2 linked regions of the Styela clava genome follow. Each later gene encodes a partner of the first gene's protein in a complex. Links are inferred from orthologs where the notes say so. Each region holds a gene or a part of one and is shown in the gene's direction. Other genes may lie near its edges.

Evidence for each region. Proteins that work in one complex are often made in the same cells at the same time.
Region 2: cyclin-dependent kinase 8-like (region 1) and cyclin-C-like share a complex: the UniProt entries of both Caenorhabditis elegans proteins name them as parts of the mediator complex. The link is inferred for Styela clava from reciprocal best matches to the Caenorhabditis elegans genes cdk-8 and cic-1.

The regions. Positions count from the first base shown.
Region 1 is NC_135252.1:15,841,426-15,852,683, reverse strand, and holds the start of cyclin-dependent kinase 8-like, read left to right. Parts: upstream 1-6,030; 5' UTR 6,031-6,291; coding exon 6,292-6,495; intron 6,496-6,578; coding exon 6,579-6,689; intron 6,690-6,975; coding exon 6,976-7,167; intron 7,168-8,253; coding exon 8,254-8,395; intron 8,396-8,610; coding exon 8,611-8,725; intron 8,726-9,554; coding exon 9,555-9,726; intron 9,727-10,043; coding exon 10,044-10,141; intron 10,142-10,466; coding exon 10,467-10,554; intron 10,555-11,258. Other genes in the region: importin-7-like, read left to right, coding at 1-2,705. UniProt on the Caenorhabditis elegans protein: Component of the Mediator complex, a coactivator involved in regulated gene transcription of nearly all RNA polymerase II-dependent genes.
Region 2 is NC_135255.1:10,306,291-10,317,641, forward strand, and holds cyclin-C-like, read left to right. Parts: upstream 1-7,374; 5' UTR 7,375-7,405; coding exon 7,406-8,257; 3' UTR 8,258-9,403; downstream 9,404-11,351. Other genes in the region: lysosomal dipeptide transporter MFSD1-like, read left to right, coding at 5,468-6,988; transmembrane protein 70, mitochondrial-like, read left to right, coding at 10,868-11,177, 11,343-11,351. UniProt on the Caenorhabditis elegans protein: Component of the Mediator complex, a coactivator involved in regulated gene transcription of nearly all RNA polymerase II-dependent genes.

The DNA.
Region 1 (11,258 bases):
TGTATCAATTGGTTAAAAAATATGAGTACAAGAAACGAGAAGAGAGGGTACCATTATTGGAAGCAATGAAAATATTTCTACCCGCTCTGGGACAACTTTTTCAGCATGCACTCAATGATGGGTCTGCTCAGTCTGTGCTTATTCAAAAGCAGTGTTTGAAAGTGATTTACGCTCTTACACAGTATTCTCTGCCTCTCAAATTGATTGAAGGTGCAGTTTTGGATACCTGGATGAAATACATTCAAATTGTGATTGAAGAGGCACCACCTGAAGAAACTCTACAAGTGGATGAATTAGAGAGACCCGATTTACCATGGTGGAAATGTAAAAAGTGGGCTCTGCATATTTTAACCAGAGTTTTTGAAAGATATGGTAGTCCTGGGACTGTTAGTCAAGAATATAATCAATTTTCTGAATTTTTCTTGCGAAGGTACGCTGTCGGAGCAACTCATGTTCTTCTGAAAGTATTGGGTGATTACAGCAAGGGAAAATATGTATCACCTCGCGTCTTACAACAGACAATGCAATTTTTGGAACAAGGAGTTAGCCATTCTCAAACTTGGAAAGTCATGAAAGGAGTTTATGACGAAGTTTTGAAAGATGTAATATTTCCTCTGATGTGTTTCTCAGAAAAAGACGAAGAATTGTGGAGCGATGACCCACATGAGTTTGTTCGTGAAAGATTTGATTTCAAGGAAGATTTCTTTTCTCCATCGAGTGCAGCTCAGTGTTTCTTGCAGTCCGCTTGTACTAAAAGAAAGCAAGTTGTGCAAAAAACAATGGGTTTTTGTCATAAAGTTCTGGTTGCCAATGAAACAAAAACGGAACCTCGTCGCAAGGAAGGAGCTTTGCATATTATTGGATCTTTATCATCAACCCTAAGAAAAAGAAAAGTATACAAAAGTCAACTAGAAAGCATGCTTTTTACCCATGTTATTCCAGAATACAAGAGTACACTTGGATACATGAGAGCAAGAGCCGTATGGGTCACTCAGCATTTCAGCCGAATCACATTCAAAAAGGATTCGAATATATTTGCAGTGGCTGATGGAATACGTACACTTCTTATTGATGACCCTGAACTTCCAGTTCGAGTTGAGGCTGCTTTTGCTCTTCAGACTCTACTGTTGCACAAGGAAAAAGCTGAGAAGCGTTGTGAACCTTATATCAATGTCATGATTCAGAGTTTACTTCAACTTGTGCATGAAACAGAGAATGATGAGTTGACTTCAGTTGTGCATAAAATTATTTGTCTTTATTGCGAGCAAGTGATACCATATGCAGTAGACATAACACAGAGTTTGGTGATGACGTTTTTCAAACTATTAACGGATGAAAATGGACAAATCAATGGTACTGGAGATGATGACGATGAGGCATCTGACAACAGATCAGTGGCTGCTATGGGAGTGTTAAGTACAATTGAAACAGTTTTGGATACAATGGAGGAACAAAGAGATATTACAGTACAATTAGAAAGTATTGTTGTTCCTGTGGTTGCCCATGTTTTGAAGAATAGAATTATGGATTTTTATGAAGAAATCTTATCGTTAATGTATTCTTTAACTTGCCAAGCAATTTCACCACAAATGTGGGAGGCATTGCCATTGATTAAAGTTATTTTCGACGATGACGGCTTTGATTATTTCTCCGAAATGATGCCTGTCGTGCACAACTTTTGCACTGTTGATACAGATGTATTTTTGTCAAACACAAAAAATATGGAAACAGTATTTGAAATGTGCAAAAAAATTCTTGAAGAACAAAATGGAGAAGATGCAGAAAGTCATGCTGTAAAACTTCTGGAAGTAATCATTTTGCAATGCCATGGAAAAATTGACCAGTGCATCCCTTCATTTGTTCAGCTTGCTCTTGAAAGACTCACCAAAGAAGTGAAAACAAGTGAACTTCGAACCATGTGCCTTCAAGTTGTAATTGCTGCCCTTTATTACAATCCCACCTTACTTTTTCAAACATTGGAAAGCATGCAGTTCCCAAACACAACGGAAACTGTTACTGAGCAATTTTTTCGCCAGTGGCTTAAAGATGCAGATTGCTTTCTCGGAATTCATGATAGACGGATATCTGTACTTGGCCTATGTACTGTGATTGATTCTGCGGAACGACCAAAAATCATATCTGAACTTGCACCAGACATTTTACCTTCTTTAATCTTAATGTTGCAAGGACTGACTCAAGCTTACAGAAGTAGAGGGGAAGAGAACAGCAGTGAAAGCTCGAATTCTGATGAGGAAGAAGATGAGAGTGATCATGAACGTGAGGAGCTTGAATCAAGCGAGGATGAGGTTGATGAAGAGTCTGCTGAATACTTAGAAATGCTGGAGAAGAGTTCTTTAAATGGTATTGATGGCGACAGTGATATCAGTGATGGAGAGACGCCGCTTGAAATTTACGCATCTTCTTTTGATGATGAAGATAATGTTGGCAGTGAATATTTCATTTTCAAGCAAGTCTTAAAACAATTGGAATTAAATAACAATGGATGGTATAATCAGCTTGTTTCTGGTTTGACTGACGATCAAAGGAAGAACCTTCAGGAAGTTTTCACAACTGCGGACCAGCGGCAAGCAGAGGCAGAGTCTAAAAAAATCGAAAAGACTGGAGGTTATCAATTTAACACCACTAATGTGCCAACTACTTTCAATTTTTCTGCATCTGGTCCACCACCAGCATTCTCTCCTTAATACGTACAAAGTCAACATTGTTTTGAGCATGTATTTAGCATTGAGAATGGTGCAATTTCTGTAAACTATTCTGGTTCATTTGTAATTAAATTAGGTGCTTACACAGGTGATATACTGGATCACTTGTCAGGGGTGTTGGAACTCGAATTATTTGTGATTTCGAACGAATTCTGTATTATTTTTTACCGTTTCAATAATTGAATATGTTTAGCATTGAGCCATGTAAAATAGAAAAATTTGCGCAATTTAGTTTGTTAATTTGACAATTAATTTTTTCCTCACTGGATGTCGATTGCTGGATATATCGATTTTTAAACTGAAATATTTTTTATTTTTTTTAAAAGTTATTTGTTGAAAATAACTAGTTTCTCAAGTTTTATTCATTCTTGACAGGTGGCTTGAACTTTCACCCCCAGAATGTATATTATATTTGTTAGGTAGAAAACGAATCCCTGTCCCCACATACTCTTGTTAAAATTGTTTTTCTTTTGGTTTGTTTCACCTATTAAACTTTACTGCCCAACTCCATAATACTGTTTCAGTAATATCGTTAACTTTAGATTGTACATGACCTTATGAGTTCGCATTTTATTAACAGTTGTGTTTTTAGTGAAGTTGAAAATAAAAAAAAAACATCTTAGTTATATGGGGATAGGTTGTTTGGAACAGTATTGTAAAGTTGCATGCTGGCATTTTTCCATTTAGTACTGGAAATGTGGGGAGTGAAGATTAAAGTGTCATTCTATGTGTGGTGAGACAAGATTTGTGGATACATACTTGTTGAGAATACGTTTGTCATTCTTCAGTCATACATTGCATTTCCAAAAATAGAGGATTTTGATGCGCTGCCAGGTTTTCGCACACCTTGCTCATTCACACTTCTGTTTCCACATCGACGACTGGTCATTGTGCATATGGGATATTTGCCGTGAAAGTTCGCGACCCTCAACAAGAAATCCGGAACTGCCTAGCTACTGGTGACTCTTCTACGGCCCTGGTCCGGGGCCACGGCCCATCTGATTTGGCCACATGGGCCGTGGCCCATCAAGCTATGGGCCGCGACCCCGTAAGGAAAAAATTCAATTATCTTACCAAAATTTTCAATTTTTACGAAATTGTCATTATTTGAACCGAAAAAATCGCGGGATGCCACCAAATTTTTTTCTTACGATAAGCCTTCATATAAAAATAAAGCAAAATACCAAGCAACAGAAAAGGATACTCCTGTAGTATGTGTACCAGGTTAGGGTTATGACCAAATTTTGTTCAGATTTTTCACATTATAGTTCTATTATGAGTTCGGGGACTGACTGTGTTAGCCAAGTGAATAGTCCCTTCACACAGTATGTTCCCCAGCTTTTCATTTTAGGGGGGGGGGGGGGTTATTTCGAAAACAGGGGGGTGGTAAATTATTTGCTATTAGCGATAAAACTATTTGTATTCTTGAAAAATTGGTATGTATTTAAGAAATGATGTACACGAGGGGGTCCCCCAAGTTGATTGACAGCGAGCCAAAATACCCACGGAATAAAATTGTAAGGCCCGAAAAAGGGAGCAAGGAAAAGTGCGCGACGATACGGCTTGGGTTCGGGGCGCTTAGGCACAATGAATTAAATTTTGAAATACGCGCGTCAACTGATCATAATGGCGCATAATGTTGTATTCCTTCAGAACTGAAATATTTTGTTGGCAAGGAAGACAAATCGCTGAAGTTTGATTCTTTTCAATAAGGAAATGAAAACGCTGGCATCCACATGAAAAACGTCTGTTTTCAGTGCCTAGTTTTCGTTTTGTGACATCTTTAAACTTTCTTAATATACGGCTGATATCTAAAATACTGCAGTGGGTAATCCCAATACCCATACTTATACATAAGATATCGGTATAATTCAATTGTTACGAAATAAACGTGCTTAAACTGTGATAATGATGTAACGATAGACGATATCTAAAACTCAAAAGGTATCACGTGAAGTGTTAAAACTATTTCACTCAAGTTCGACGGGCCATTTTAAATCGTTACGCGAGCCGTAATTGGCCCGCACACTGCGGGTTGGAACCCCTCATCTACACTGATGAATATGTCATAGTCGTTATGTTTGAATACAGGAGTTAGGAACTTGAGTTAGGAATTACAGTGTTGAATCGCACCTCAAAATTAGGGGGGGGGGGATCACTCCCTTTACACAACTTGAAGGGCCATGAGCCTTAGAGGAATCACCACTCCCACTCCCAACTAGCCCCGAGTGAATTCGAGGGGAGGCGTAGAACAGGGAAAAAGCCAATTTATTCGGCCGTGAACAACTTCAAGCTTGCCGATTTGCGTGAGGTTATGAATACACTCGTCATGGCTATGTGGGTTTTTATGTTCGAAATCGAATGCTGTGGGAGATAATGATGTGCGAAAGAATTGTTTCGTAGTTCATATAACCGGTCCAAGTCCATGCTATAGTATCTATTGGCGATAGAGCTCAAAATTGACATATTTCGTCAATCTTTTTTGTTTTCTCTCATAGAATCAATCGTTTCTCTTGAATTTTGGTTCCCAAATTGTGTTGTATTTATTTATGTCAATATACTTTCGTAAATATTTGACGTCATCTGCTGCTGGAAAATGGTGTCGTTGACCGATGACTTTGATAGTCTTTTCGCGACACCTTGTCCATTGCAGTTGAAACATTGAAACCCATTGATGTTTGTTGCACGACGAAAATAAATATCTCAATCTAACCAGATATTTCATCTTCGTCATGAATTAAACATTTACGATTAAACATTTGAAACAAAATAGTTGAGACCGAAATATGTCTTAAAGTGGGATATATTCAAGATGAAGATTGCACGGGTGCATATATGCTTATGAGGGCTAATTTTTGTAGACTCAAGGTTACATGATTCCAGTTACTCTTATGATAAAGATTTGACTATCTAAATCCCAGAAAAGAGATGTCTGTTTTCCCTTTTAATCACACTGCCAGTCTAGTTTCACTTTGCGATTACCAGTCCAAATATGTCATGGGAATAGTTGTTCAGTTAATTTTTTCAAATGCCCGGGCTGACGCAGATGGAAACGTGATCGACAAGTATCTAAGTGGGACAGGGACGTCCTTCCATACAATGTAGCCCAAGTTAAATCAATTGGTAAACATATCATGTAAAGATGAAAAGCTTGTTCCCAACGCTTAGCACGATACGCCAACCTACCTTAGAGAGATACACGTATCTAATTTAATTACAAGGCAAAATCATAATGCTTCATTTCGTACCGTATATGTATGTATATATGCTCATTGGTACGCTGAAGCATTATCGTGTGCGGTAGAAGACGTGACGTCACACCGACATGATATTGGAAGTATGTAGGAATTAGAAAATCAGCCAAGCCAACTGAAATATCTCGGTGTCGCGGGAATCTGGCTTCTGTGACTTGTTTCTGTGTCGCATATTTTTAACAGAAGATAATTTTGATGAATAATTCCGTAATTGGACCATAGTAGGCAGAACTTTGTAAACTTTAATAAGCCCAGCTTGCTGTACGGTACTGCATTACAACAGTCAGACAGTAGATCTGTTTAATAGTTTTGTTATGGATTATGAGTTCAAACAAATGCTGGCGACCAAGAGGCGAAAAGTGGAAGATCTTTTTGAATATGAAGGCTGTAAGGTGGGACGTGGAACTTATGGCCATGTTTATAAAGCTATAAAGAAGGATTCCTCGGACAAAAATGAATATGCTTTGAAATTGATTGAAGGCACTGGGATTTCAATGTCTGCTTGCAGAGAAATTGCAGTAAGTATTTATCATACTGTCATATCAACAATTCATGGATTTTTTTTTATTTAAAATGATTCCTACTTTATTATAATTTGCAGCTTCTGAGAGAATTGAAGCATCAGAATGTCATATCATTGAGAGCAGTTTATTTATCACATTCTGACAGAAAAGTTTGGCTACAAGTTGACTATTCGGAACATGATCTATGGGTAAAGTGTTATTAATATAACAGATAGTTACATGTAAATAAAATTCATAGTAGTGTCTTGATAGAGCGTGATATTCAAAATACTCCACTACATTCATTTTTATTTTCTATTATCCCTAAAATGTCACAAAAAGTTGAAAAAAGATATTTATCCTAAATTTGCCGCAAAATAACTTCTGCATTAATTATAAAAAAATTTCTGATTTTTAGAAAACGGTTCGAATACATTAGATCATTTTTCTTTCTCAAAATTTATCTGTGATTTTTAACCATTTATTAATTTTCAGCATATAATCAAATATCATCGAGCTTCCAAGTCTAACAAGAAACCTGGCACAAACATTCCAGCACACACTGTCAAGTCATTACTTTATCAAATTCTAGATGGAATACATTACTTACATTCAAACTGGGTTTTGCACAGAGATTTAAAACCTGCAAACATACTAGTTATGGGAGAAGGACCAGAAAGAGGAAGGGTGAGGCTGAATTTTTGTATCAAAAACAATACAGTACGGCACACTATACAAATAGGGTGACATTGTCCTGTTTCAGAGAAACCCATTTTACAGGTGATCAGACTCTCCTCCTTTGGGAGACGTCTGGACATTGTTGTCCCTCAATATTGGTAATAATACAGTATAATGGAGTTGCGCAAAATACTACAAGAAAGCACAATCTAGTAACGTCATCATTGAATTCATTGGGAAAAAATAATCCGATTTACCGCAGGAAATTTTTTTTTTGTAGTATTTAAGAGTTGTTAGCAAAAAACGGCAATTTTAGTCATGTGACGGCCGCGATTAATTTAAATTATTATTGAGACAAGCATGGCGCGATATGAAGCATTTGACGTGGTCCCAGACACCCCTCGTTTGTGAGACACATAGAGTGTTTGTTTTATTGAGCCAAATGGAGGAATATTCTTGGAATTTGGATAGTGTGCTGCTGTACTGCAATAGAACTGTTGCTATTTTTACAGCATGAAGTTTTCCCAATTTAAAAAATATAAAATTTGGGAACTCAGTTTTTGACATGTTTTATTTTCCATGCCACACATTTCGCTCCAAATGAAGTTCCTCACAAGCAGCTACCACTAGATAAGGAGTTGCTATAGTTTGGAAGATTTGGAATCTTTCCTGTTTGGCAAGAAATTGACCAAGGTAGTGGGCAAAGGATTTGAACCAAATCTTAACCTGCGATCATAGTTGAGTCTATTGCTTATTAAACACTAGGCCACTGTCCCCACAAATGCACATGCTGTAAAAGTTACTTATTTGACTCCACAGTTTTGAAAACTTTGATTCTGAAATAATGAATCTTATTGACATGATCTGTAGATGCAATTGAATCACAAAATCAGTTTCTTTATTTTGTCCCTTCTGCTGTTAATATACTGAAGTTTTTAATATTGTTTTTGAATTATATTATCATTATCACCCCATTTTATTCTGCCACAAGTCACAACAATTAAGATAGTGAATATTCTTATTTGAGTTTGTGGAATTTTCTTCAGGAATACTTTAATAAATAATATAATGGTAAATCTTTTTCATTTTTCACAGGTAAAAATAGCAGACATGGGATTTGCAAGACTCTTCAACTCACCACTCAAACCTCTTGCTGATCTCGATCCAGTTGTCGTAACTTTCTGGTACAGAGCTCCAGAGTTACTTCTTGGAGCAAGACATTACACAAAGGCAATTGGTGAGTTCATATCATCCCCAAATTCAAAATGCCATATATTCACTCCTGACTTGTAGTATATTTAGAACGAGATCAAGTTCCTTAGGAATTCTCACAACTAAGTTTAAAAATCCCTGTTGTTAATTACTCGCTATTGTATAGCATTATTTCACAGTTAAACCAATTTGCATTCTTAGTTATCAGAACAATAATTCAGCATTAATTACTTTGTGCAGACATCTGGGCAATCGGATGTATATTTGCTGAACTTCTCACATCGGAACCAATATTTCATTGTAGACAAGAAGACATAAAGACATCAAATCCATATCATCAAGATCAATTAAGCAGGTTTCTACATTTTTATAATAATTTAAAATTATCCCACCATCTTTTTATTCGACCTTTTTTTTCATTTTTATGTTATGATTATACTTGCAAATGAACTAGTGAGCTATCTGAGTAGATTTCACAGGTATTAATTTTGTTTGGGGTAAGATGTGAATAGGTGATTCTGCGCGAGTGTGTGTACCAATATGGAGGTAACTAATTTTGTGCGGCTATTTTACATCAAGCTGTGTGAAGGTACTGAAGCCTATGGGCTGGGGGTATATTCACTTGGCTAACACAGACAGTCCCCGAACTCGTAATAAATAAGGAAAATCCGGAAAAATGACCTAACGCTAACCTGGTTCACATACTGCGGGAGTACTGGTGATTCACACAACTTCTGGCAGGTTACATCTTCCGCCACCATCAAAGACCTCTGGAATGATTAATTGGTTATCTATGCTTGACCTGGGCTTTATGATGACAGCTTTTCTCTGTCTGGGGCAAGTATGCAAGATACTAGCCTGAAATCATAATCATTTGTAAAACATGTCCAGAAGACTTGCATTCACTATATTACAACTGATTGCAGTGACACTAGTGAATGATCTTAACAATAAATATGTGGGTGTTAATAATGTAACATAACCATGCCTATGTAAGTGGAAAGTGTGAATGACAGCTTAAAACTATCAAATATTCAGTTAATTCATAAACTCTTTTCACTTTTGCTTCTGTGTGTTGGTAAGGATATGTCAGTTTTATTTTGGAAAGAGTATATTTCTGATCTTTCGCACTCTCTTTACTGGCTGAGTTTATCTCATATTTACATTGTATTACTATTTTACAGGATTTTTAGCGTTATGGGATATCCACTCGAAAAAGATTGGGAAAGCATCAGAATTATGCCAGAATATTCAGCATTCCAAAAAGATTTCCGCAAACAAAACTATGCAACAGCTTCTCTTGCCAAATATATGGATAAACACAAAATCAAACCTGATACAAAAGCATTTGCACTGGTATTGATAGATTTTGCTCTTCGTCTTTCCTCTAAGGAGCATTTCATTGTTATTTGCCATAAATGTATTGTAGTATGAATGTGTGTGTTACCATATATGGATTTTTATCACTGTATTTGAAAAAGGGATGTCTGAAATGTTTGGTATTCTGAAATTTTAATATCCAATCAAAGTTTGTACCATATATTCCATGAAAACAAAATTGATTATGAAGAGAAATTTTAAACACCTAGTTAAACCTATATAAAACATACGGTAAATTTCCAAGTTTGCAAGGGTTTTGTATTATTCAAACTTTGCCGCTTTTTTCTTCTCAGTTATCCAAGCTTTTAATCATGGATCCACAGAGAAGAATAACATCAGATATGGCTAAAGTTGATCCATACTTCAATGAAGAACCTATTCCTAATAAAGAGTTAGTATTTCTGAATAATCTTATATGTTCAATATTTGTGTCAACATTTAATTCCATTACTAGGAACACCTTGACATTTGTTACAAATACCTAATGTGTTAAAATTATTATTTTTGAGCATAATATGTTGGTTTAAAATTAAAAAAAGGGGTATACCATACATTTCACCAGTATGGATTTTACATCAAAATTTATTTAATAGTTTTATTATCATTTGGGGAACAAATCGCTATTACGTGGGTAATAACCATCAACATTACAGTATTATTGGGTTGTAACTAACTCCATTTAAAAAAAAAATTGAACTCATGCTATTCTCACACAGTGTGTTTGGCGCCGGCCCTATTCCTTATCCAAGAAGAGAATTCATAAATGATGAAGAAATTGAAGACAAAAATGAAAAAAATTTGAAGGTCAGTTATAAATGAGAATATTGTGATCATCAGTGAAACAAAATCATTAGCTTTTTGACTTAGCTAGCCATGGTATCATATCATGTTGCAGTTTATAAATATCAGTATTGATTCTGTTATATCTCATCATACACATCGGGCAAGATTATTGTCAAGTTGGTCTTCTGTTGGTAATTTTCTATACGGCCTACAATAATCCCCTTCTATTATGAAACTGAAGCATGAAGTTGCATGAGTATTTATTTAGTTTGAAATTTTATTTATAGGCTTTATGGCCATCTGAGAGACCTGTTAAAGTTAGGACGGCCTAGTTGTAATTTCAATGCTTCTGTAGTCAATTTTCACCCATCCCTGTTGACACCAAATAGCAACATGAATACATCAATTTAAATATAATTAGGTAGTATTAGCAATAATATCATGGTTTGCCACACTTGCATTGAATTGATACATTGTAAAATTCAATGCAGTTAACAATCATGCATATCCATGGGTTATAATTAGGGCTGGGAATGGTTAATGGTTATGACTTATTTTAACCGTTAACTGACATGTCAGGTACAAATCATCTTTATAATGTTGTATTTTTTTTAAAAAAAATGATTACGTCATCGCAAATTTATCTCCTGTGGCGTTTAGTTCAGAAGAATATCACTAACTGTATTGTAAGGACCCAATAAATGTGAAAAATAATTGAAATACCA
Region 2 (11,351 bases), on another chromosome or scaffold:
TAAGATATGACTTAAAATTAAAAGTCTAAAATTTTATTTGAGAGGGGTGTTCTCCAAGCTAATTTGCAAAAGGTATCCATGGTACCAAGTGTATCACACACTTTACAGTAATTATAAATTATATTTAAAAAATAAAGCACCTCAAAAATGTATTTTTAACAAAAAATTGGTTTTATCTGCAGATACCAGGTTTATATTGAGGTTGACCATTTCAATGCTAAATTTTTCTTAGTCAAAAGGCACACTTGATTCGCAAAGATTTGTGAATGCGCACAGTACACCAATTTGTCTAATGTTTTGATTCCATAGGCAGGAGGTTGTGGGTCGGTGCTGCTCAGGATGGGATATATTTGCTTATAAATGCATATTACGTGTTTCACATGAATCCATCGTGCTCAGATTTGACTGTTTTCAAGATCTGAACGAAGGCTCCAACTGCTTAATTTTATCGGTACACGTGGGAATTTTCAGTGGGGCATACATGGGTCAGTTGGAGTCACTAACATCAAGATATCTATAAGCAAGGATAAAATAACCTGGAAGTAACATTCCATAATTTAGAGTAAAAAATGTATCTGCCTCCACAGCCCTTTCAAATGAAAGATATGATGCCTTGAGGGGTAATTTCTATCAAGTATTTTACAGTGTTATGGTTCTTCTAGTGAAAATGGGTTTAGGCGGCTTCTTTTAAAGTGTGGTAGGTCTAGTCAAAAGACACATTAAACAACTGCAAAGTGAAATTGCAACGCATACAAGTTAACAGAATTTGTTGAAATGGTCCTGCCTTTTGCCTTTCCTCAAAATCCACCTTTTTCTAACTATTCTTTTCCTCTCTAGGAGTGGCGAAAATTCAAATATTGATGGGACATAATCAGCTGATAATGGGTTATCTTTCATTTTTTCTGAAAAGAAATTACACACAAATCATCATTTGACAGTGTCACGTTTGTGCATCAGATCAGTAATAGAACCATTCTATGTCGAGATTAGCTAGCCAGGTATTTGTTTTCATTTGCGTCTCTTATTGCAAAATCCCCCGGAAGTGGGTCAGGAGCCTTAAAAGGTTGGGAACCACTGGTATAGAGTTACATTACTTTACCATATCACAAAATTTACTGCGACACCTTTGAGCTCGTTAATGCCATAATTATTTAACCGTTCCCATCCCGTAATCTGTTTGAGCTGAAATATATTGGGTTTTAAGTAGGAATTCTTAAACGAAATCTCGGCGGCTAAATGGTAATGCTATTGAGCAATATTTCTAGTTACTTATCGATCTTAAGATCGGTAAGTCTGTTAATAGATATTTGTCTGTTGGTTTGTTTCAGTATACAGGCGCGGCGATGTGGCTTAACGGGCTAAGCGTTAGGAATACGCTCGCCACCGCACCTCTAATTACTCTGCGTGGGTTCGCAGGTTCGAATCCCATGCAGGGATGGTTATGTGCGAGAGGATTGCTAGACTCCTCGCCGTCGTTGGGTGGTTCACGTAACCGCTGGTCGGTTACGGCTTCCTCCACCACCAAGTCCATGCTTCCGAAAACAAACAATACAGTAAAACTATTCCAATACCCGACTTGGAATGGTAACCGGACGAGAGGCCGTGGTTCGCCATATGGATGGTCTTATCGGCTTTCCTCCCCCCCCGGGATAAATATGTAAATCCTATCCTATCCTTTATGCTATTGCAGAGGCGTAGCTTAGGGGGGGCAGTGGGGTACATATGCCCCCGGGCGCCAAGGTACAGGGGCGCCAAAATGGGGCTTGCAAACATTTCACAAGGGTAAAAAAACGGTCACAAGCAAGATCGTTAGGTTCTTGCCTGCGCACTCCGATGTAAGTTGATATTAGTCCTGTGGTGGAGACAAATGGAAACGAAATTTGGTTGACTGATGTTAATACATGTTTTGAGTAATACGTGGTTTTGTATTTCGTTGTTGTCAAAATACCGTACTTTGCGGCAGAGTTACATAAAATATATTATACTGTGCTAAAAGACCCCAATGCTGTTTTCGACAATTCGTCGAGATTGCACAGATTTTGCAAATTTCTACGATACGGACATCAATGGCCGCGAACTTTTCACCGAAATTGGAGATTGCAGAATGCTGCTCAGTAACAGAACTGTAGGTCAACCAGAAACTCCTTTGGCTCTTGTTGGTTTTATTGTGTCTTCTGGAGACGACGTTTTACCCAATCTGCGAATTTCTCTACAATTTTTGTTAACAATACCAGTTTCAATTGCAAGCTGTGAACGGTCTTTCAGCAAATTGAAACTTATTTTGTCGTATTCGCGTGCATCAACGGGACAGGATCGTCTCAGTGATCTTGCACTTCTAAGTGTTGAAAGAGAAACAGATTTTGATGACGTGTTAACCAGTTTACGACAGTGAAATTGAAAAAAATGAATTTATTGTAGACTATGCAAATCATCTTTGACAGTAACTGAGTGGGACATATGCTCTATTTTGTATAGCTTTGCTTCTTCTTTAAATAAAATGTTCCATTAAAATTTGAATTTACATATACATATATTTTTGAATAAATAATAAAATATATAAATACATATAAATTTGAATTCACATATCGTCACGGTAATAACCGAATTGCGTAAGTCATTTTTGGCGGTTTTGAGTTTTTCATAAAATAGGTATTTATATAATGCTGCGCACCTGTCTGTTAACTCAGATTTTATTTTAAGAATTCCGAAACCCATAAAAATAGAGATTTTGTATAATATGCAAATTTGTTCAATTGCTCCGTCATAATGAATTATCTTTGTTAACGTAGGACTATTGTGACGTCACAAAGGCAAAATAACCTCGGCGAAGGATTTTCGAATTTTTGCATCTCAGATTCTAGCTTAGCTCCAATAATTTTGATTTTATACTACTGTATAGAAAGGCGTGCACTTGTGATATTCACTGTCTGAGTCCAATTCACCTTGGTTGACTTTTATATAAGGGTACATTGCTGTTTTATTCTTTATATTTAACTTTAGTCTTATTTCGGTGATGTGCAGAGCGTGTTATATTGATGAAATAAATATTTTTAAACATAAAAAATAATGTAATTGAAACAGATTAGCTATTTTGGGGATTTTGGATTGTTTGGTTTTCAGGACTGGTACATATAGTCAAGTTGCAAAATTGCGTATGTCCCCTAGTCATAGACACACTTTTGCCTAAGTCACAGTGCGCCATTATGACGTCACATGACTGCGTCATACAAATTAACTTAAATCCGGCTACGATCAAAAAGTTGAACTATGGCAAATTAATGGCATAGCAATATCATTAGGAAGTTTTTTTTACGTTTTTCTCAAAACAGCTAAAAATGACTTACGCAATTCGGTTGTTAGCGTGACGATATATAATTTGTTTTTACATATAAAATTAAATGCAATAGAAACATGATTAAACGTGGGGGTCGGGGCGCCAATTTTATATTTTGCCCCGGGCGCAAAATATGCTGGCTACGCCTCTGTGCTATTGGCATTGTAAATACTTCATTTCAATACAAAAATAATTTCCTTGTTGTAAGCGAAAAAGTCATGAATGAAAGGGTTAATTGTGGTCCATTTTAGCTTACCAGGCTTATCCATGGAATGGGAAACGTCCCATGGGATGAGACAACACACTTTGTATTTCTCATGAGACACTCATTTTTATATAAGATTATTGGAAGAATAGACACATGTTTCTACCGCTAAAAGATGATGCGAAAATTGTTCTGGCCGTACCAGTGTCATCTGCGGCAGTAGAGCGTTTATTTATGGGCCGACCAGTTTGTTTTTGCGCAATCTACGACAACGGATTTACCTTCTCTTCATATGTTCATATTCATGTTCATATTCATATGTATTGGGGGGAATGGGATTAAATTAAAAAATGATAAACAAAAACATGGAAACAAAAAAATATCTATTTATATATTTATAATAAAATGATTTGATACCAAAATATTAATACGAAAATTCCGTTTGGCATTGGAATTTATTTGGCACAAAAAAAAAAAAAAAAGGATTTACCTTCTCTTGTTATCACTCTGATTACATCAGATTTGCGTGTAAAATGAAAATATAGGAAATGGTTCGGAATCAGAACTCATCCGAATTAACAGAATTAGTAACAGTCGATGAACAGGAAATTAATGATTTGCAGTAGAACGAGAGTGTCATTCTGAATTGTCGTAGTTCAGTAGTTATCAGACACGGAGTGGACCTATGGATCGTTTTGTTATTATGTTGTTGTTCTTATTGTTGCTCTTCTTCTTGGCATTAGAATTTTTCTTCCTATCGTTATGAAAAAATCACCTTTCTCTTTACTTACTGGACCAAATGCATTTCATCCAAAATTTCGCTGTATTATTTTTTACCTTACTGCCTTATGCTGTTATGGGAACACGGTTTTAAAAACTGAATTAATTAGTACCGGTACCGGTAGTCTATATGGAGAAGGGGTGGGCAACATTTTTTAGTATAAAAGCCGCATGCAGCGAGTCAGAAATATGTGAGAGCCGCATAATTTTTGAAATTATTGATATTAGTGATCATTAAATCATTTTGCATTGTAACTGTTACATTGATACTAATTTGGATTTGGGCTATTGACTGCGACAACATCAGCAATATTTTTTTTCACAAAATACAGCCCCAGAGTATCGGTGTTTAGCATTTTAAATTTAAAATAAAAAACATGGAAACAAAGGACTGTGTTTTTAAAATAAAATGATTCGATTCCAAAATATCAATATGAAAATTCCCTTTGCCATTGGAATTTATTTGGCACAAAAAAAAAAGATACTACAGTACTAACCTAGGCCCTACTATTTCCGTGTAAACTCAGAAGAACACAAATTTTGGGATTGACATCACTGTATTAGGTCACACTGTCATAGGTTCGTCGCTTATAGCATTCAAACAATCTTTGGCAAAGCATCATTCTTTGCTATCTTAGATGTACTAGGCCCTACTTTATTATTGAAATACACCGGTGTGGCTCGCCGTGCCAAGCGTTAGGAATACGCTCTATGATCCACCGCATCTGATTACTCTGCGTGGGTTTGCAGGTTCGAATCCCATGCGAGTGAATCGCTGAACTCCTCGCTGTCGTAGGGTAGATCACGTAACCGCTGGTCTGTTACGGCTTCCCCCACCATCAAGTCCATGCTACCGGAAAAAAATAACTAATCCCATACCCAACCGACATGAAATTGTAAACGGACGAGAGGCAGTGGTTCGCCATATGGTTAAGTCATCTTATCAACTTTCCTCTCCCCCAGGAGAAATATGTAAATCCTATCCTATATCTGGATATGCATACAAATGCTGAAAGATTTCCAAAGCGATAGTCATAAGCTATAACAGTATAAAGCTCTACATCAATATATTAAGGTATTTTTACTTTTTAGATTAAATAATACAAAACTTTCTGAAATTTAAGACCTAACCTACCGGTATTATCATTATGGAAACTGATCCACTTGTTCGAAGACGTTCATCTGCTGCACCAGTTAAAGTAAAACCATGTGAAGTTGGAAATCCTCGTAGTTTGAGCCATCGTCTTATCATTATTGCTTTGATGTGTTTTCTAAGTTTTGGAAGTTATTTCTGCTACGACAATCCTGCTGCATTACATGATGAAATTGTGAATGATTTGGATGTAAGTGAAAGCACTTTTATGTCGCTTTATGCTTGGTATTCATGGCCAAATGTTGTCCTCTGTTTTTTTGGAGGATTTCTCCTAGATAGGGTTTTTGGTGTTCGCCTTGGCAGCCTCATTTTTAGCATGCTGGTTGTTATTGGGCAATTAATTTTTGCTACTGGAGCACTGGTACACAAAATATGGTTGATGGACCTAGGACGTTTCATATTTGGTATTGGTGGAGAATCATTAGCTGTCGCCCAAAATACATATGCTGTTCTCTGGTTTAAAGGAAAGGAATTAAACTTAGTGTTTGGTTTACAACTCAGCATGGCTCGGATTGGAAGCACCGTGAATATGAACCTTATGGTACCAATTTATGATATGGTTAATGAAAAAATGAAGGACCACAATAAAACCTTGGGTGTTTCTCTATTTATTGCTGCTCTGACTTGTTTGTTCTCGTTGACATGTGCAATTAGTTTGGCGTATTTAGACAAACGTGCTGAAAAAATATTGAATCGTAAAAAGAATGAAGCTGAAGAAGCTGTTAAACTAACGGATGTTAAAGACTTTTCAATTCAGTTATGGCTTGTATTTGCCATCTGTGTGGCTTATTATGTAGCAGTATTTCCTTTTATAGGTTTAGGAAAAACGTTTTTTCAAGAAAAGTTTGGATTTTCTTCATCGAGCGCAAGCGCAGTGAATAGTATTGTATATATCATGTCCGCACCTTGTTCACCGGTCCTAGGCTTTATTATTGATCGGGTTGGTCGTAATTTGTTCTGGATTTTATTTGCTGTTGTTTTAACTCTTGCAAGTCATGGTTTATTAGCATTTACCTTTATCAATCCATGGTTTGCCATGACGTTGATGGGATTTGCATATTCTGTGTTAGCATGTGCACTGTGGCCACTTGTAGCATTTTTAGTACCTGAGCATCAACTTGCCACAGCCTATGGCTTTATGCAATCAATACAAAACTTGGGTTTGGCTGTCATATCGCTTGCCGCTGGTAGTATTCTCGACAGTAAAGGATATTTCATGTTAGAGATATTTTTTTGTATGTGTATCAGTGTTGCTTTAATATCTGCTTTGCTTTTGTACATCATTGATTTTGGTCGTGAAAGTGGCCTGAATGCTTCTGCCAAAGAACAAAATGCAAAACGTGCTCTCGAAGAAGCAGCAGAAGAAATTGCAAATGCTTCTGTTGATATGCAACCAAGAATTAAACCAATGACTGCATTTGGTTTGAGAAATCGTTATTATTCAAGAATCGGTGCAATTATTCCTGAACACTTAGTTGCTCACACTAACGTGTCACATCACGGACATGATGAATAGAATTTTTTATTATATTTTGATTTTCTTCCATTTTTGATGAATTTTAATGCAATTATGTGTATCGTAATATTCCAATGTGATTACTGCATCATATCATGACACCTGTTATATTTTGCAGAACATTTTTTAATATAACAGTGCCCATATGTCTCATTGCTACAGATCTCCATCTCTGAAATAACAACCTCGAATTCCAAAATTTTTGTTTATGATTATTCATCTGTAATGCTTACATAGTTATACAAAATATCTCCTAAACTTTGTACTATTAGTTATACCGTACTTTTTCATGCATCAATTTACAAACCAATCTTGCCATTTGTTATGTAGCATTTTTCTGTGCTTCTATCATTGTGTCTTGTAAAAATTTATCATTTTTTTTATAGATTACCATCTAGCTCCTATTTTAAATCTGATATGGCTGGAAACTTCTGGCAGAGTTCTCATTGCAATCAATGGATACTTACGCCGCAAGATCTCACTCGAGAACGAGCAGCTGATTTCAAAGTTTTAACGGAAGTTGAATATAACAAAGTGATGATTTTTTATGCCAATGTAATCCAAGCAATTGGCGAACAATTAAAGCTACGCCAGCAAGTTATTGCTACGGCAACTGTTTATTTCAAAAGGTTTTATTGCAGACATCCATTACGAAGCTGTGACCCACTTCTTTTAGCTCCAACTTGCATTTTTCTTGCTGCGAAGGTGGAAGAGAGTGGCGTGGTATCAAATTCACGGCTTATTGCTGCAGTCGGAAGTGTCATCAAAAATAAATTTGGCCATGCGTTTCAAATGGATTATAACTACAGAATAACCAGTGTTTGGGAATGTGAATTTTTTCTCCTGGAATTAATGGATTGTTGTTTAATTGTGTATCACCCATATCGTCCATTATTACAATATGTTTCAGACATTGGACACGCTGATTTATTGTTACCAGTTGCTTGGCGTATTGTAAACGACACATATCGTACGGATGTCATATTGTTATATCCACCTTTTCAAATTGCTCTCGCATGCCTGCATATTGCATGTGTTATACAGAGTCAGTTAGAGGTTGCAAGACAATGGTTTGCAGATTTAAATGTTGATATGGAAAAAATTATTGAAATTACAAAAATTATATTACAACTTTATGATTTGTGGAAAAACTATAACGAAAAAGAAGAAATTTCTTCCATTTTAGAAAAAGTTCCTAAAGCTTGTGTCACACCAAGTGATTATAACAGAGATGATCGCATGGCTATAAAGGGTAAAGGAAAAGGGTAACCTTTGATTAAACTAAATTAAAGCTCGGTATCCGTTTTTCCATCAATAAGAGAGGTTCAAATTTTATATACGTTGCAAAGTATGGGTATATCTCAACTTCAAACAAGGCCATGTATCTGAAACAAATAGATGGACACAAGGGAGGGTCAAAGTTTATCTACGTTGCAAAGTATAGGCATGGCTCAACTTCAAATCAAAGACATGTATCTGAAACAAATAACTGGCCAACTAATATCATACCCGAGTAACCCGACATAGACTGTTAACCGAACGAGAGCCCTCTTATCTAATTTCCTCTCTCCCGGAATAAATATAAAATCCTATCCCTAAATAATTGATTGATAAGTGAATTAGTAAATTGATGTATTTAAATTTAGCCAAGTGCATGAAAAGGAAGATTTCAAGTAGTCATTGATGTATTCAATGATGATGACTCTCAGTTTCATGGTAGTCTTTTTTCAAACCACATGCTATGTGATTGTGTCATTTTGGCTGTTGCTATTGCAATTCCCTATTTTAAGTCCTTACTTTTGGGATACAGATCCAAATGCTTAATTAATTAAATTAATCGGGTTCCTCATTTTGTGCAAATAGCATGCGTTAAACCAGTCAAAATGATTGTTTTGCTATGTGAACAAAAACAAACTATTTGCAGGTTGTGAATTTATAATTGCATATTATCTGTACAGTTTGTGCTACTCTGTTTATGCTTTCTACTTAGTGTTGACTAAACAATACATTTTTATGATTACTAGATCACAATAACTTGCCAAATATGTAAGGTGCACACTTTATTTTGATAATGCTAAATTACTTATATCCTGAAATTTTTGAAATAGTGAACTATTCGGTATTGGCCATCCCTGATTTGAAGCACTCTTGCTGATTTTTATTTCCTTATCGTATTGTCTATCACCCTATGAAATTTGAGGGCTACAGGAAAATTACACCTAGTATTCCAAAATAGTAATATGATGGGTATCACTTACATTATAATATTAATTTAAAATTGTGACATCATATCTGAATTTTAAATTTGAATAAATCTAGATGCAATTTACAATTTCAAGCAGTACTTGATATTTCTAGTAGTACCAGTATTTTTCAATGTACATACTATCATGAAATGCTTTTGTATTGTTTAGATCAAGTAGATAGAATCAGGTCAAATAGTCTTAGTTATTTATTCATGTTGAATGTAGGCCAATAGCTAGATATCTACCTTGCTGTTTTTATAAAGTAAGTTTTGTAGTTTAATCTATTGATAATGCTAATCAATCAAGTATTGACACAATTACCAACCAGGGCATTGACTATAAGTAAAAACTATAGTAAATGTCCAGGCATGATTAGGTTCTAGATGGAAAAACAAGTGATAATACCATAAATGTAATAAAATGTGTTCATTATGTATGGTATTATTTAACTTACGGTATGTGAATAATAATATTACAATAGGATGTTGTAATCAGAGATGGCTATTTTTCAATATCGAACTTGATATTTTATCCAAAATTTTTAACAAATCTGTCTTCTCATCTGAATATATTATTTACTCGAATATGGTCCAGAAAATTCATGGCATTCCCTTTTTGTTAATATAACAAATGATACTTTTTCCAACACTTTTGTGAAACTAAAGTGAATTATTCCATTCATTGGGTACATCTCGTGACAATTCTTTTGATTATACAGTATAATATGTTTATATATTTTCTTTTTCAGATCTGTATCAGCATTTCTTTATCAACATCTTGAAAGGAGCACACTGATAAAAAGTCACCTAGAAATCATGTTATGATTTTTAAACAAAAAAGATGTGTGAATGAGGTTTAAAAAATTTCATATCAGGGGTGTTTATGGCATGCATAGATCACCTAGTTAAGTATACTTGATGCAATGGACATTTTATCAAATATTATCTGTAACTACTTAATCATGTGATGTGTTACATATGATTTTTTTATTTTGTTAAACAGAGAAAATATGATATAGTGCAACCAATGATAAAATTATACCAAATGCAACCCACAAGGGAAAATTGTGAGGCTCCTGCAGAAATGCAAATTTTGAATGATGTGTGACCCACGAAACGAGTTTTAATTTAGTTTAATCTGCTACATGCAAGTAAATTCAATCCCTTTGCATTGCAAAGCCTATACTCTAATTATTATCTATGCCTATGACATTACAATGCCCTAACAGCTAGCTTGTTGTGAAGCGAACAACGTATATTATAAGATCAATAACCAAAATTTTTATATATGTGCAACTACCACCCAGTGTTAAAGAAAGGTGCGGCCAGCAGTATGAATATATATTAAATTGCCCAATGTTCACATTCAAAAAAGAAAGACGCACTAATCTCTATTTTTTAGGCATGTTGTACTCACTGATCTACTAATACTATCATCATTAAGCAGAACTTAATAATTTCCATCTAGTTGTCCAAAACCAACCCAAGAATCAGCCATATTGACTACAACTATTTATGAATATATTTGTATAGTTAATTTTGTTCCGACCCCTGTCTATAGCACCCTGTTAATCTTGTATATAGTCCATTTCTAGGTCCTACAACATTATAAATTTTTAACTTAAATAGAAGAGATGATTCTCAGACAGTTACTTCATCCAATTCAGCAAAGATCTACTACATCTTCGATTATGTTGAAGAATAGTATACATATGAACTGCTTTAAGTGTCATCAAACTTCCAGCATCAGATCAAACATTTATTTAAGTAATTTCAATAAAGGGAGAAATTGTTTATTACAAAAATGTCTCACCTTATATCTTTCGAATTTGAGAAACATGAGTATGTCTTCAACTTGTTATTCGATTGAAAAGCGACTAGGAACTGAATATGAAGAAGGAGTATTATTGTATGTAGGTGGAAATGTTGGGAATACAATAAAACGTTAGTAAAGATCTCTTTTCAAACTATTTAGAAAATTGTATTTTAAAATATAGCTTCAAGTTAGGCATTTATTCATACGTCTTCTGCTAGCCTAGTCAACTTATTGTCTCAATCAAAATTGAGATGAATATTATTTTGCTAATAAATGATTGTGTTATTTTTCAGGTGCCCAAA